Linked DNA regions of Rhinolophus ferrumequinum. The protein of the gene in region 2 interacts with the protein of the main gene of each other region in a pairwise test. Links are inferred from orthologs where the notes say so. Each region holds a gene or a part of one and is shown on either strand. Other genes may lie near its edges. The genes, in order: PTPN9, CREB3 and FMO3.

The links.
Region 1: the proteins of CREB3 (region 2) and PTPN9 interact in a two-hybrid assay, tested with the Homo sapiens proteins (2 studies listed by BioGRID and IntAct). The two-hybrid records come from large-scale screens. The link is inferred for Rhinolophus ferrumequinum from reciprocal best matches to the Homo sapiens genes CREB3 and PTPN9.
Region 3: the proteins of CREB3 (region 2) and FMO3 interact in binary tests that used the Homo sapiens proteins (3 or more experiments, as listed by UniProt). The two-hybrid records come from large-scale screens. The link is inferred for Rhinolophus ferrumequinum from reciprocal best matches to the Homo sapiens genes CREB3 and FMO3.

The regions. Positions count from the first base shown.
Region 1 is NC_046289.1:99,925,893-99,929,638, forward strand, and holds the start of PTPN9 (tyrosine-protein phosphatase non-receptor type 9), read right to left. Parts: upstream 2,537-3,746; 5' UTR 1,940-2,536; coding exon 1,877-1,939; intron 1-1,876. UniProt on the Homo sapiens protein: Protein-tyrosine phosphatase that could participate in the transfer of hydrophobic ligands or in functions of the Golgi apparatus.
Region 2 is NC_046295.1:51,914,463-51,918,208, forward strand, and holds the start of CREB3 (cyclic AMP-responsive element-binding protein 3), read left to right. Parts: upstream 1-1,433; 5' UTR 1,434-1,552; intron 1,553-1,638; 5' UTR 1,639-1,647; coding exon 1,648-1,776; intron 1,777-1,867; coding exon 1,868-2,015; intron 2,016-2,089; coding exon 2,090-2,157; intron 2,158-2,280; coding exon 2,281-2,370; intron 2,371-3,487; coding exon 3,488-3,594; intron 3,595-3,704; coding exon 3,705-3,746. UniProt on the Homo sapiens protein: Endoplasmic reticulum (ER)-bound sequence-specific transcription factor that directly binds DNA and activates transcription. Plays a role in the unfolded protein response (UPR), promoting cell survival versus ER stress-induced apoptotic cell death.
Region 3 is NC_046305.1:7,196,701-7,200,446, reverse strand, and holds the start of FMO3 (flavin-containing monooxygenase 3), read right to left. Parts: upstream 2,500-3,746; 5' UTR 2,431-2,499; coding exon 2,299-2,430; intron 1-2,298. UniProt on the Homo sapiens protein: Essential hepatic enzyme that catalyzes the oxygenation of a wide variety of nitrogen- and sulfur-containing compounds including drugs as well as dietary compounds.

The DNA.
Region 1 (3,746 bases), on a different chromosome or scaffold from region 2:
CTTAACAGTTAAGAGTACTCTTGTGATATTAAAGTAAAATATGAAATCCATCAGGCATTACAATAATTGGAAGGAACTGTGCTGCTTGGAACTATGCTGCTTTTGTGTTTCAACATTTTGAAATGCCTGCAGAGAACTTGGCATTATATAGGAAAAGGTATGGTTATAAAAAACCACATTAACTTCCTGATCTTAATATACAAATATTTTGTTCCCATCCAGTCCTTGTTAATGCCCAACACACCCATTCAATGTAATAGATTTTTACTAAACACACTTGCATATTTACACTATATACAGGGTGAAGACAACATTAGCAATACTATCAATGCTTCAATATTTGCTCTCCTTGGTGTTTTTTTTTTCATTTGCAACCTAATGCCATTTTCATAGTGGAACACTAATGCCATTAAGTCTTAAGAAACACAGAAATTTTAAATCTGACTAACTCCAGAAAAAGAAGTGAGAGTGTTGCCCCTTTAAAAATCAACCTAACACATTACACCCTAGTACTAAAGCATTTCTCTAATTCTGGCAGGATGGACTCCTTGGCCACCTGCTTGCATTAGGCCCTCACTAGCATTTTATTAACACCCAACTGCAGTTACCAGAATGCTTGTACAGAGGAGCAGAATTCTTTTCCCCCAGGCTGATTTTATCTCAAAACATCAAAAGGTAAGACTGCGGTCTGAGGCCAAATATGAAAACATGTCATCTCCACAAATGAGGAGAAAAGTCAAGGGCTTTTTAACAATCACGTCTTAAAGAAACCCATTAACCAATATTAGTTTGTAAAACCAGACTGTCTCCACACTAGAGACTGTGCTACCAAATGTGGTTCTTGGGAACAAGGGCTGGAGAGGTCGAAATGGGTGACCAGCACGGTTCATCTTTTCTTATTTCAGATTTTTATTAAAACATGGAATCAGATTATGGCTCGTTTTGAAAACAGCTAAGGCCGGATATGGGCAGTGCCAAAGAGACAGCGAAAAGCCTTTACGGTTCCCATCTCAGCCGCAGGCTTTCCTATCTTTCTCAGAAGGAGTGGTCCACGTCTCCCCCGCAGGAATGTGCGAGAGTGAAAGTTGCAAGGGCCCCGATTTTTCCCTTACCCAAGCCCCCAAAATGACACCGCAAACCACTTCCTTCTGGAACTGAAGGTCATTAAGAGTTAAGGCACAATGGAGCTCAATGTAGACTTCGGAAAGATGTAGACAGTGGGGTGAGATGGGGGTAGGGAAGTGTGAGTGGGGGATGTGCCCAGACCAAGAGAGAGGAATGGGGCAGTCAAGGCCAGGGGCTTGGGGAGCGTGAGAAGGCCTGGATCTTTCAGAATGTGTCCAAAGAGGCCTGCCACGGCCCTGGGATAAGCCCGAGGGGCTCGTCTGAAAATCTAGGGCATCTACTACCCAGTGCCTACCATGACTGTCCTCGGGAGGGGCGGTGGTCCCCGCAGAAGCCCATCCCCCAAAGTGAGCTTTTCTTGCCCTTAGAAAAAGAAAAAAGAAACAAAACCCGCACGGAAAGCAGCAAAATATGTATAGTGTGCAAAGACCGAAGGAAGGAGCTGTTCTGCAAACGTCGGGGGCGGGGGCGTTTGTGGATAGAAAGGAAGGCCCCCAGGTCCAGGAACTTTAATCACCTCCGGAGTGGGGGGAGGGGCGATGCGAGGCCTGAGCCTCCGGGGCCGAAGGGGACAGAGGAGGTCCGGAGCAGAAGCGGCGTCCGGTGGCGCCCCGGTTTCAGGGGATGACGGCCAGAGGCGCGGCCGCCAGGGGGAGGCCACCGCGGGCCCCAGGCGCCGAGAGCGCGCGGCGGGCAGGGACCCACGTAGGCCCCAGGGGTCCGACACGCCCACCGCCGCGGCCCCGCTTACCTGCTCCTCCTCCGGGGTCAGCTGCGGCGCCATGTCGGCCTGGGGTGCGGTCGCGGGCTCCATCCCGCCGCCGCCGCCCGCGAACAGGACCCGCCCGGAGCGCCGGGGCCCCGCTGTGGCCTTGGCTCCCTCGTGCCCGCGCTCAGCAGCCCGGGGCCGGCTCGCGCATGGTGGGCCGGCGGGCCCGCGCCCGCGGCGCCCACGAACGCCGCCGCTGGGTCCTCACGAGAAGGCGCTCTGAGCTGTCGCTGTCTTCTGGGCGGAAATCCTTGTTTATTTTCTCTGCTCCTTTCCTCACACTCCCCCTCCTCTCCCGGAAAAGAAAAAGTGCAGGCGGGGAGCTGAGGGAATCGGGAGGAAAAAAGGAAATATGAAATCAAGAACTTTCCAGGCCCAGAGCGAAGGCTGCCGGCCTCCTCGGCGGCGCTCCCGCTCCTCCGGCTGTGGGCCCGGCGACCCGCGCGGCCGCCTCTCAGCGCCGTTCCTCAAAAGCCTCCGAGCCAGAAGGAGGGAGAGGGAGGGGACAGGGCCGCGCACCCCCCTCCCGGCTCACGGCCAACCCTGCAGCCGCCCGAGCCCCCCGCGGCTCCATTGAGAAACTGAGCGTCTCATTCACAAATGGGCGGGCGGCGAGCAGGGCCGCTGAGCGCGGACGCAGTCCGGGAGGGGGCGACAGAGAGGAGCCCGGGGGCGGTGGGTGGGAAGAGGAGCTCGAGGAAGGGGAAGCGAAGAGGTGGGGGGAGAGGAGTTCGGAGGGGGTAGGAGCTCGAGCAGGGGGAGGCCGAGGAGAGGCGGGATGGGGGAGAGGAGCTCGAGGAGGGGGAAGCGAGGCGGTGGGGGGAGGAGTTCGGAGGGAGCGTAGGGGAGAGGAGCTGGAGGAGGGGGAAGCCTGGCGGTGGGGGGAGAGGAGTTAGGAGGGGGGAGGAGCTCGAGCAGGGAGAGGCCGAGGAGAGGCGGGATGGGGGAAAGGAGCTCGAGGAGGCAAAGCTGAGGAAGTTCGAGGAGTGGGGGGGGGGGGCAGGCGAGGGACTTTGACGACTCGGGACTGTGGGGAGCGAGAAAAAGGTGAGTGTGAGGTTTACAAGGAAGGTTAAGTTCCACGGAGGAGGAAGAGAATGCAGCTGCCGACGGGCACCTCGGGGTTGCTGTCCGCTCCCACCTGCAAGTGAGGAACCCACAGTCCTCATCTATTTCCCTGTCACTTGCTGACTGAAAGCGCCTGGAAAGGTTGCCTGGGAGGTCCAGGACGCTCATCTCGGCCCTACCGCTCGCTCGTTCTTGCTGTATCCTGTCATTTATTGCCAATATAGGTAATTTTAGTCCCTCGGAAAAAAACAGCATCTGATTTAGAAACCTCATACAGAAATCACGCAGCTTTTGCAAGCCTTTGATTTTCACTCAGGCGCGTAGCAAAAACCTTGGGGCTCTTACAGAGTAGTCTTGGAGTCAGTTCGGGAGTCACAAGGAAGGCAGGACTGGGTCTGCTATGTTTTTACATCAGTCCAGACCAAAAATATTCTTAAAGGGACCCAACGAACAAGCAAGTGCCACAGCTAGTCAGTCCCAAGGCCTGAAAGCCTGGAGAAATTGAGACCCAAGGGAGGGGTCTTCAGACAACTTGAAGATACTCTCCCAGGACTTTCGAAGCCACCTCTGACCTCACCTCATTTCTGCATCATTGCAACAGGAACTTCAGGGTGCCCTTGGTTCGAGAAGAAAATCCTGGTACTCAGGTAGGTTATTTTATCCTTTACACCAGGCTGACTGGGTTGAGTTCATAACCTCCCAGAGCAGTTCCAGTTTCAGGATTGCGACCAGACGCTTCTCTGGAAGACCGGCTATTTAACAAGTGCATTTACATGCCAGTCAC
Region 2 (3,746 bases):
ATGGCGTGAAATTAGTTTGTCATTTCTCTAGGTCAAAGAAGCCCCTGCAACTACATAGGAAAAAGAGACTTCACCACCGCAAAACAAGGACATCCACCTACTGCCAATGTTGTAACTTTTACCTGCTTGAAGTCACTACCCTAACCTCAACCACCACCTCTAAAACTGCCCCTAATTTCTAATATTAACCTTGACCCTAATTTGTTTCCTGTTTCCCAATACCGGTTTTGACATTCATCCCTTCCTGGGAAGATACCTGTATCCAATCCCTGATCCCTAATATTGATAGAATTTTTACCTTTAGCACTAGATCCTCTGACCTTAACCGTAAATGTTGACTCCTAAACCTATAGCTCATTTGTCAGTTGATTCCTGACCCATCCCTTCACTGTTTGACCCTAATACGCCACGGTTCTCTAATCCCTGAAACTGAACTTCTAACCTAATTCCTGTTGTTGACCCTGAACTCTAATTTTGACTTACTCTGGCCATCCTAGAAAACAAAATAATGACCTTAATCCAAACTTTATCTATATAAAAGGGACCTGGCTCAGGCTAATAACTATAAATTTCAACCCTGGCTCTATAACTCCTAAAGCTAACCTGATTCCTAAATCTAATTTCACCTAATCCCAAACTCACCCAACGCTTTCCTAGCAGCTAACCTCAAAAGCCGATCCCCACCCTGCACCTCACTACCACCCTACTTCTCATCCTCCCCAAAACCTATCCCAGACAGAAGACTGCTCCCAGGAAGGGCCTGGCTCCCGCAAAACGGCCTACCTAACTCCGAGCCCAACCCCGGATGCACTGGACGCTGACCCCTCCAACAAGACCCGAAACAGGAGACGCAGGAGAGTTAGGGGCCCCGCCTGCCCACCCGCCTCCCCGGCCTGGCCTCGAGGCCCCACCTTGAGACTCCCCCTTGGCCCAGTCCAGCCTACCTGAGCTGCCCGGCTTGTGCCCCGCCCGCTGGCCCGCTAGCCCGTCTGTTCTCCCGATGGCTCTCGGGCTCCGGCCTCGCCCTCCCTTCGGCACTCTCGGCCACTTCCGTCCCTGGAACGTCCCCCACCCGCGGGCGGCGCCCTGGGCCCGCGCTCTATGGTTGCGGGGGACGGCAGGAAGCTGCTCTGGCCCCAGCTCTCGATGCTCGGGAGCGCGCTGAAGACCGTCTGGCCCTCCCCCGCAGGAAGCAAGGGTGCGGCGCAGTCCCGGGGAAACGGCCGAACTGCACCGCAGTTCCTTTGGAGTCTGATCCTTCCTTATTCTAGCTTGGGGCAAAGGCGGCGCCGGCTCCCCAGAATGCCCGCCCTCAGGGTGTGAGGAAGCAGCAGGGACCTCCCCTGTATTTGCATAGCTCCCGGGACGTGGCGCGGCACCTAAGCCACTTCCGCGTTTAGAGAGAACTTTAAGTCCCGGGATGCTTTGGGGTAGGCGTGTCACTTCCGTTGTGTTGGAAGCTGCGGAGAACCGAGTCTCGGTGGCGGGTCTTGTTTGAGAGCTACGACTAGTAGCTACGGGGAAAGCCGGCCGAATAGGGACTAGCGGATAGGTGGGGCTGACTCACAATCGGTGAGGGTCGTGCATGGGGCCGGGTGGAAGGGTGAACTCCTGCGCTTGTGCCCATTCTTTCTGTAGGTGGCCCATATGGATTTGGCGTTGGACCCGGGTGACCAGGACCTGTTGGCCTTACTACTAGAGGAAAATGGAGATTTGGGGGTGGCGTCCGATGCGTCCTTCGAGGCTCCACTGGACTGGGAGTTGCCGATTTCCGAGGTGGGCGGGGGCTCTGAGCCCGGGAGGTGGGGGGCGGGGTGTTCTTGAGGATGGTGGTAGGTCAAGGCCTGTTAATTTGAATCCTGTTCAGGCACTGAGCGATTGGGATGTAGAGGATTTCCTGAGCTGCCTGACGAGTTTCCCAGCATCGTCGAACGTTCTCAACAGCTCGAATCCCTGTCTGGTCCATCATGACCACACCTATTCTCTCCCACAGGAACATGTTTCTATAGATCTAGGTGAGTCTGAAATAAGTGAATTTTGAGGGGAGGAAGGGACTCATGAACCTGGCTATTCACTTTCCCTTTTGCAGATAGTGGGAGTTCTGGAAAAGAGGAGGCCCAGATGACACCCCTACATGTGGAGGAGCCCGCAGAACAGGTACTTTGTTTACTGGAGGATTATTCCCACATTGCACATTATTCCCACATTGCAGACAGGATTCCTCATTCCTCTCTGACATGCTCCCTTGTGACTCTGCCTCCCACCTTTCTGTAACCCCAGGAGATTGTTAGGCTGATACTGACAGATGAGGAAAAGAGGCTATTGGAGCAGGAGGGGCTTACTCTGCCAGAGACATTTCCTCTCACTAAGGTAAGACTCCCAGTGGTGGATCAAAGACTGGAGGGGTGAGGATTGAGTCCCAAGTAGTCCAATTCTGTTAATTTTTCATCAGTAACTTACTAAAGGACGAAAGTGAGAAATTAAGCAAATTTGCTGCTAATAGGAAGCCGGGGGATGTAGTTATATACTGGATGCAGGGGCAGATCCTGGTTTTGTGGGGCTTACACAAATTTTGGTATTCTTTGTAGGAAAGAATTCAAAATTACCAGTGCATTAGTTAGTATAGGGACTTGGAAAGGACTGTGCAAGCAAGGGGCTCTGACATTTAGATTTCACTAGGTGGATTACCATATCTATCTAGCTGAAAGGTCGAATTAAGTTTTAGAGTTCAAGACTGGACTTAGTAGTATAACAAGAATAAACGTAAAATCTTGAGTTTTAAGTTTCAAGAAGCAATGGGTGGCAGTCTCGCAAGCATAATATTGTGATACTGTGATGAGATCAATGTTCATTGACAGAAAGGTTAAAAGAGTTTCTTAAAAGTACAAGATGAGTCAGCAGTGTGATATGGTCACTAAGAAAGTGAATGGGGTTTGGAGGCTGTATCAATAGAGGTATTTCCTCTAGAAGGGCAGTGACTATCTTGCTCTCCTTTATACTGGTCAGAGCATATCCTAGTGCCAAGTTTTGAGTCCAGATCTTTGACAGATAGTAAAAGGAGTAAAAGGACACAGTCCATCCTGAGGAGGTAAGATGATGAGTTAAATATTTTATCCCACCCCCCAAAAAAGTTGCCCAGATTTATCTTTGCTTGGAGGAAATGTTGAGTGTCTTAAAATAGCTGAAGACCATTTGTTCTGTATAGCTCCCGAGATTAGGTATGAGGTAAGTCCAATGGATAGAATTATCGAAGCAGATACTGGCTCAGGATAGGGAAGATTAATTTTAATTAATAAAATTGTTAAAAATAGTCTGGCTTATGAGGGTGTTAACACCTAGTCCTCAGAGGCATTTAGCCAGAAGCCAAGTGCCTACTGGTCAAGGAAGCTGTAGAAGGGATTCGTGCATTGGCAAGATTACTCAGTTGCCTTCCAACTCTTTGGTCCAGTGTTCTGTGATGATACCCCTTTTCCCTGTATTATCTCAGATGGAGGAACAAGTTCTGAAACGAGTGCGGAGGAAGATTCGCAATAAAAAGTCTGCTCAAGAGAGCCGCAGGAAGAAGAAGGTGTACCTGGGGAGTTTAGAGAGCAGGTATAAACAGGAGAGGGGCTCTGGGGTGGGTGGAACAGAAGTAGCTGGAAGTGATATGTTTTTGAAGGGAGGATACAGGCCATATCCCCACATCCCTGTTATTCCCCCAGGGTCTTGAAATACACAGCCCAGAATTTGGAGCTACAGAACAA
Region 3 (3,746 bases), on a different chromosome or scaffold from region 2:
ACATGCTATTCAGCCTACTAGTGTTTAAACCTAATTTGGTTTCATTGTACAGGAGAAACACACAGTGAATGGTTCAAAGTTATCAGATTTCTCTCCCGGAACACCTTCTGCCTAACAGGACTTGCCAGATGGAAGCTTATATAACACATTTGCCGAAATCCCTCTCTGATCACACATTGTACCAAGCAAGTTTTCTTCAAAGAGAAGGAAGGGGTGGGTGGGTGGAGGGGCCGAAGTTTTGACTATTTGCATGTGTTTACATCCTCACAGGATATAATCCCACTTCTATACAGTGACCTTACCGAAAGAGATAACCCCTCTTTTGAATAACCCAGAGTCTGACTTTGTACCTTATCGATATGTTACCTGTTGCTTCATTAGATAGGCTTTTTGGTCCGGCTGCACTGGTTAACTTACAGACCCCTGGAGAGTCCACATTCATAGCCTTTTCCGTGCTGTTTATGCATTGCTTGCTGGTCACCCCAACCTAGAAACCTCTCTCACATGGTCCTGGCATACTATCGGTGACTGCTTGTCTACAGGGCACCCTCCACACATTACAGTGGGGACGGCACTCCCCGCAGTTGTGTCACACGGTGCTCCTCTACTTTCCGTGTCTGAGGACGTCCTTCAACTCTCAGCTGAGTGCCATCCCTGCGGGAAGTCTCTCCTGACCTGCTAAGAATTCAGTGGTCCACCCTTTTCTAACTCACAAGGCTCGTGTTCATTAAGTTGACTGTCAACCAAGGGCTATCTTGTTATAAAGTACTGTGATCTCTTATTGGAAACTCTTAGGGCCAGGTATATTTTGGAATTTGTCGATCTGGGGAAATGTTTTTCCATAGCACTCCTAGTGAGATTTTGGGTAGCACCTTACAAGCAAATGTAATAAAATTTTTGCAGTGGAGCACGGAGTGGGCCAGAGGAAGGCTATACGTAGCCTTGTGGCTTCCACTCATGTTATCTGACCATATGACTTCAGGACAGGTTTTGCCATCCAATGGGCTTTGCCCCCTTTCCATCAAAGGACTGTAGACCTATAGGATGGTTTGCTTCACCAAAGGGAGTAGAACCCATGCATGTAGCGTGATTATGTCACATATTAGCCTAGTACCTAGTACACAACTTGGGCAAAATAGATGCTCAAGCAGCATTTAATTGCTGCTAATGAGATAACAGAGAACCATTTCATCGTTTAGGCTAAATGGCCACATCTCCCTGAGCAAATGTAAATAAAATTGAATTCGTAAACAACCACCACCACCACCACCACTCTCTTGATTATTCCCTAAGGAAAAGTAAAAATTACTGATCTTATGTCTTATGTAATGCTTTCAGGCTTATAGGCACCCCCAATTGTTTTGCGAAATGCTCTTGAGATAAATACAGATGTGTTCTGAGTTAGCACCAACATACTCTGTTAGAGCAACCTGTTGTAGGTTGGGCTATAACCGAGCCCAGGAGAGAATATAGTTGCAAGATGAATGATGTGGATGTAATGTCTTCAGACCAAACATGTATCATCTATAGCAATAATAATGGTTGGAAAATTCACGACAGAAAGGCTAGAAGTTTCCCCAAACCCAGCTTTGAAATTTAAAAATTGTGTTTATATTGAATATTTCCTGATGATATTAGTTCTACAACAATGAGCCTGAATGGCAGAGACAATCGTTTTTTCCTCTGGATTTGGAGCTCACAGAGTATATGACAACCACACACAATGCACACCATCATCATTTATAATAACTTACAATGTCTGCCCAATAGACATGAGTTCATTATAGAATCATAGCCCCTTAGAATTGGAAGGCACAGTAAAGGTAACTTCACTTCCAATCTCTGCATTTGACAAATGAGCATTTGAGGTCCAGAAAGGAAAAAGTGACTTGCCTAAAATCTATCTACTTAGAAAACCTGAGAATCGAGATTAGAACTTGGGACTTCTGACCCCAGTCAAGGTTTTTCTTTTTCTTTCCCCCCATGTTCCAGGGATTTAAGAGCAATAGACATAGAATCCCTATTTTGGCTAATTACTGACATTAGAGCCTGGAGATCTGTCAGGCTGGTGACATTATTTAATAAGCTGGAGATGTCCTTTTCAGGATAAGCCCTGATGGCGTGCGCAAATGGTTGTTTTGAAGGGTTGGACATTAGTGGGATGGGAGAGAGAAGATTTTACTTTCCAGATCTGGAAATTTTAGGACTTGCCTCTAAGTCTGAATTAGAAATGATCAGATTGCACTGGCTATAGAGCCCCTGTCCCTTCTGTTGGTGTCCCAGTGATGTGCCACTCACCGAAAATTTCCACAGGCCTCCAACATCATCGCCCCTTTCAAAGCAGGTGGGCTCCAGCCCCTCTTCCAGACAGCACCGGATGGCAGCCAAGCCACTGATCCCAGCTCCGACGATGGCCACTGTCTTCCCCATGGTCTCCTGTAGGAAGGTCTGGAGAGGTTCTTTAGAAGAGTGTCCCTGGACACTTAGGATTCTGCAATGGAGTTGCCGGCCTGGGCCTGGGCAGACCTGTCACACTATATATAGCCTCCAGGGCAGGCCTGGCCCCGCCCTCGGCCAGGCCCCTGGGAGCGGTGACCTGGCCTGGGGATGAGCGCTGTGCCCCTGGGAGTGCGCAGGGAGGCGCGGCGAGTGCGGGGTGGGGCGGCGGGGCTGTGAGCGGACGCTGGGGTCACGGAGACTCCTGTGTCCCGACCCGGCTTTCTGTCCCGGAGCCTGTGGGCCCCGCCGGGCTCTCCAATCACCTGTCTGGACTGTAACCGACATCGGACCCCTGCCGCCTGTCTTCCCCCAAAGGCTGGAACTGAGCCTGGGGAGAGGGAACCCTGAGGGACCGAAGCTCGGAGTCTCGCTCTCCGGGATGCTGTGGTGGCTGAGGGCGGAGGATGGAGAACACATCGGCCGGCGCTGCCCAGCGCCTTGCGGGGCTTGGGCCGCGCCGGCCTCCAGGGCGCTGAATGTCAGTCGCTTCCCAGAGCTGACGGTGAGAGCCCGCGCACCGGCGCCCGCAAATTCCCAAACGCTGGCAGCTCTCCTGTAGAGCTTCCCGGGTTTGAATTCGGCTGCCCCTGGGAGCCTCAGAGGTTTCTGAGCTGTAAACCTGAGTATTTACCCCGCAGGATGATTGTGAGAACTAGAAATCACAGGCACAGGCCTCATATGGACCTGGCACACAGTGGTAGACGGTAATTACTCAGACACTTGTTCAAGACAATAAGGCCGACATCATTCTGGGGTACGACCCTGTTTCCCTGGAAATGAGACCTACCCCGAAAATAAGCCCCAGTTAAGAGCATCAGCCAGACGGCCACGTTTAGTTTTGAGGATGTTCTAGAAGAAGATGATGTGACTGTCATCGAATAAAGGTAGATTGTTGTACATGAAAAAAATAAGACATCCCCTGAAAAGAAACTCTCATGGGGCAAAAATTAACAGAAGACCCGCTCTTATTTTCAGGGAAACACGGTCCCCCAGTGGGGTTTCGCGGTAGCAGAGAGAGATTGACTACAAGGGCGAGGGGAGACTTATCGCCAAGGAGTAGGATGGGGGTCGGTGGATAGAAAATTACTCAAAGGACACGCGCAGGTGACCAGTGCGTTCTGGCTAAGCCTGCTTGACAGCAGGAGCTGTGTTGAAGGCAGACCAGGGTGAAGAAGGAATTTGATCAGATATCAAGGGTTGGGGATGTAGAGTTGGGTCAGATATGGAAGGAAGAGGATTTTCCCTGA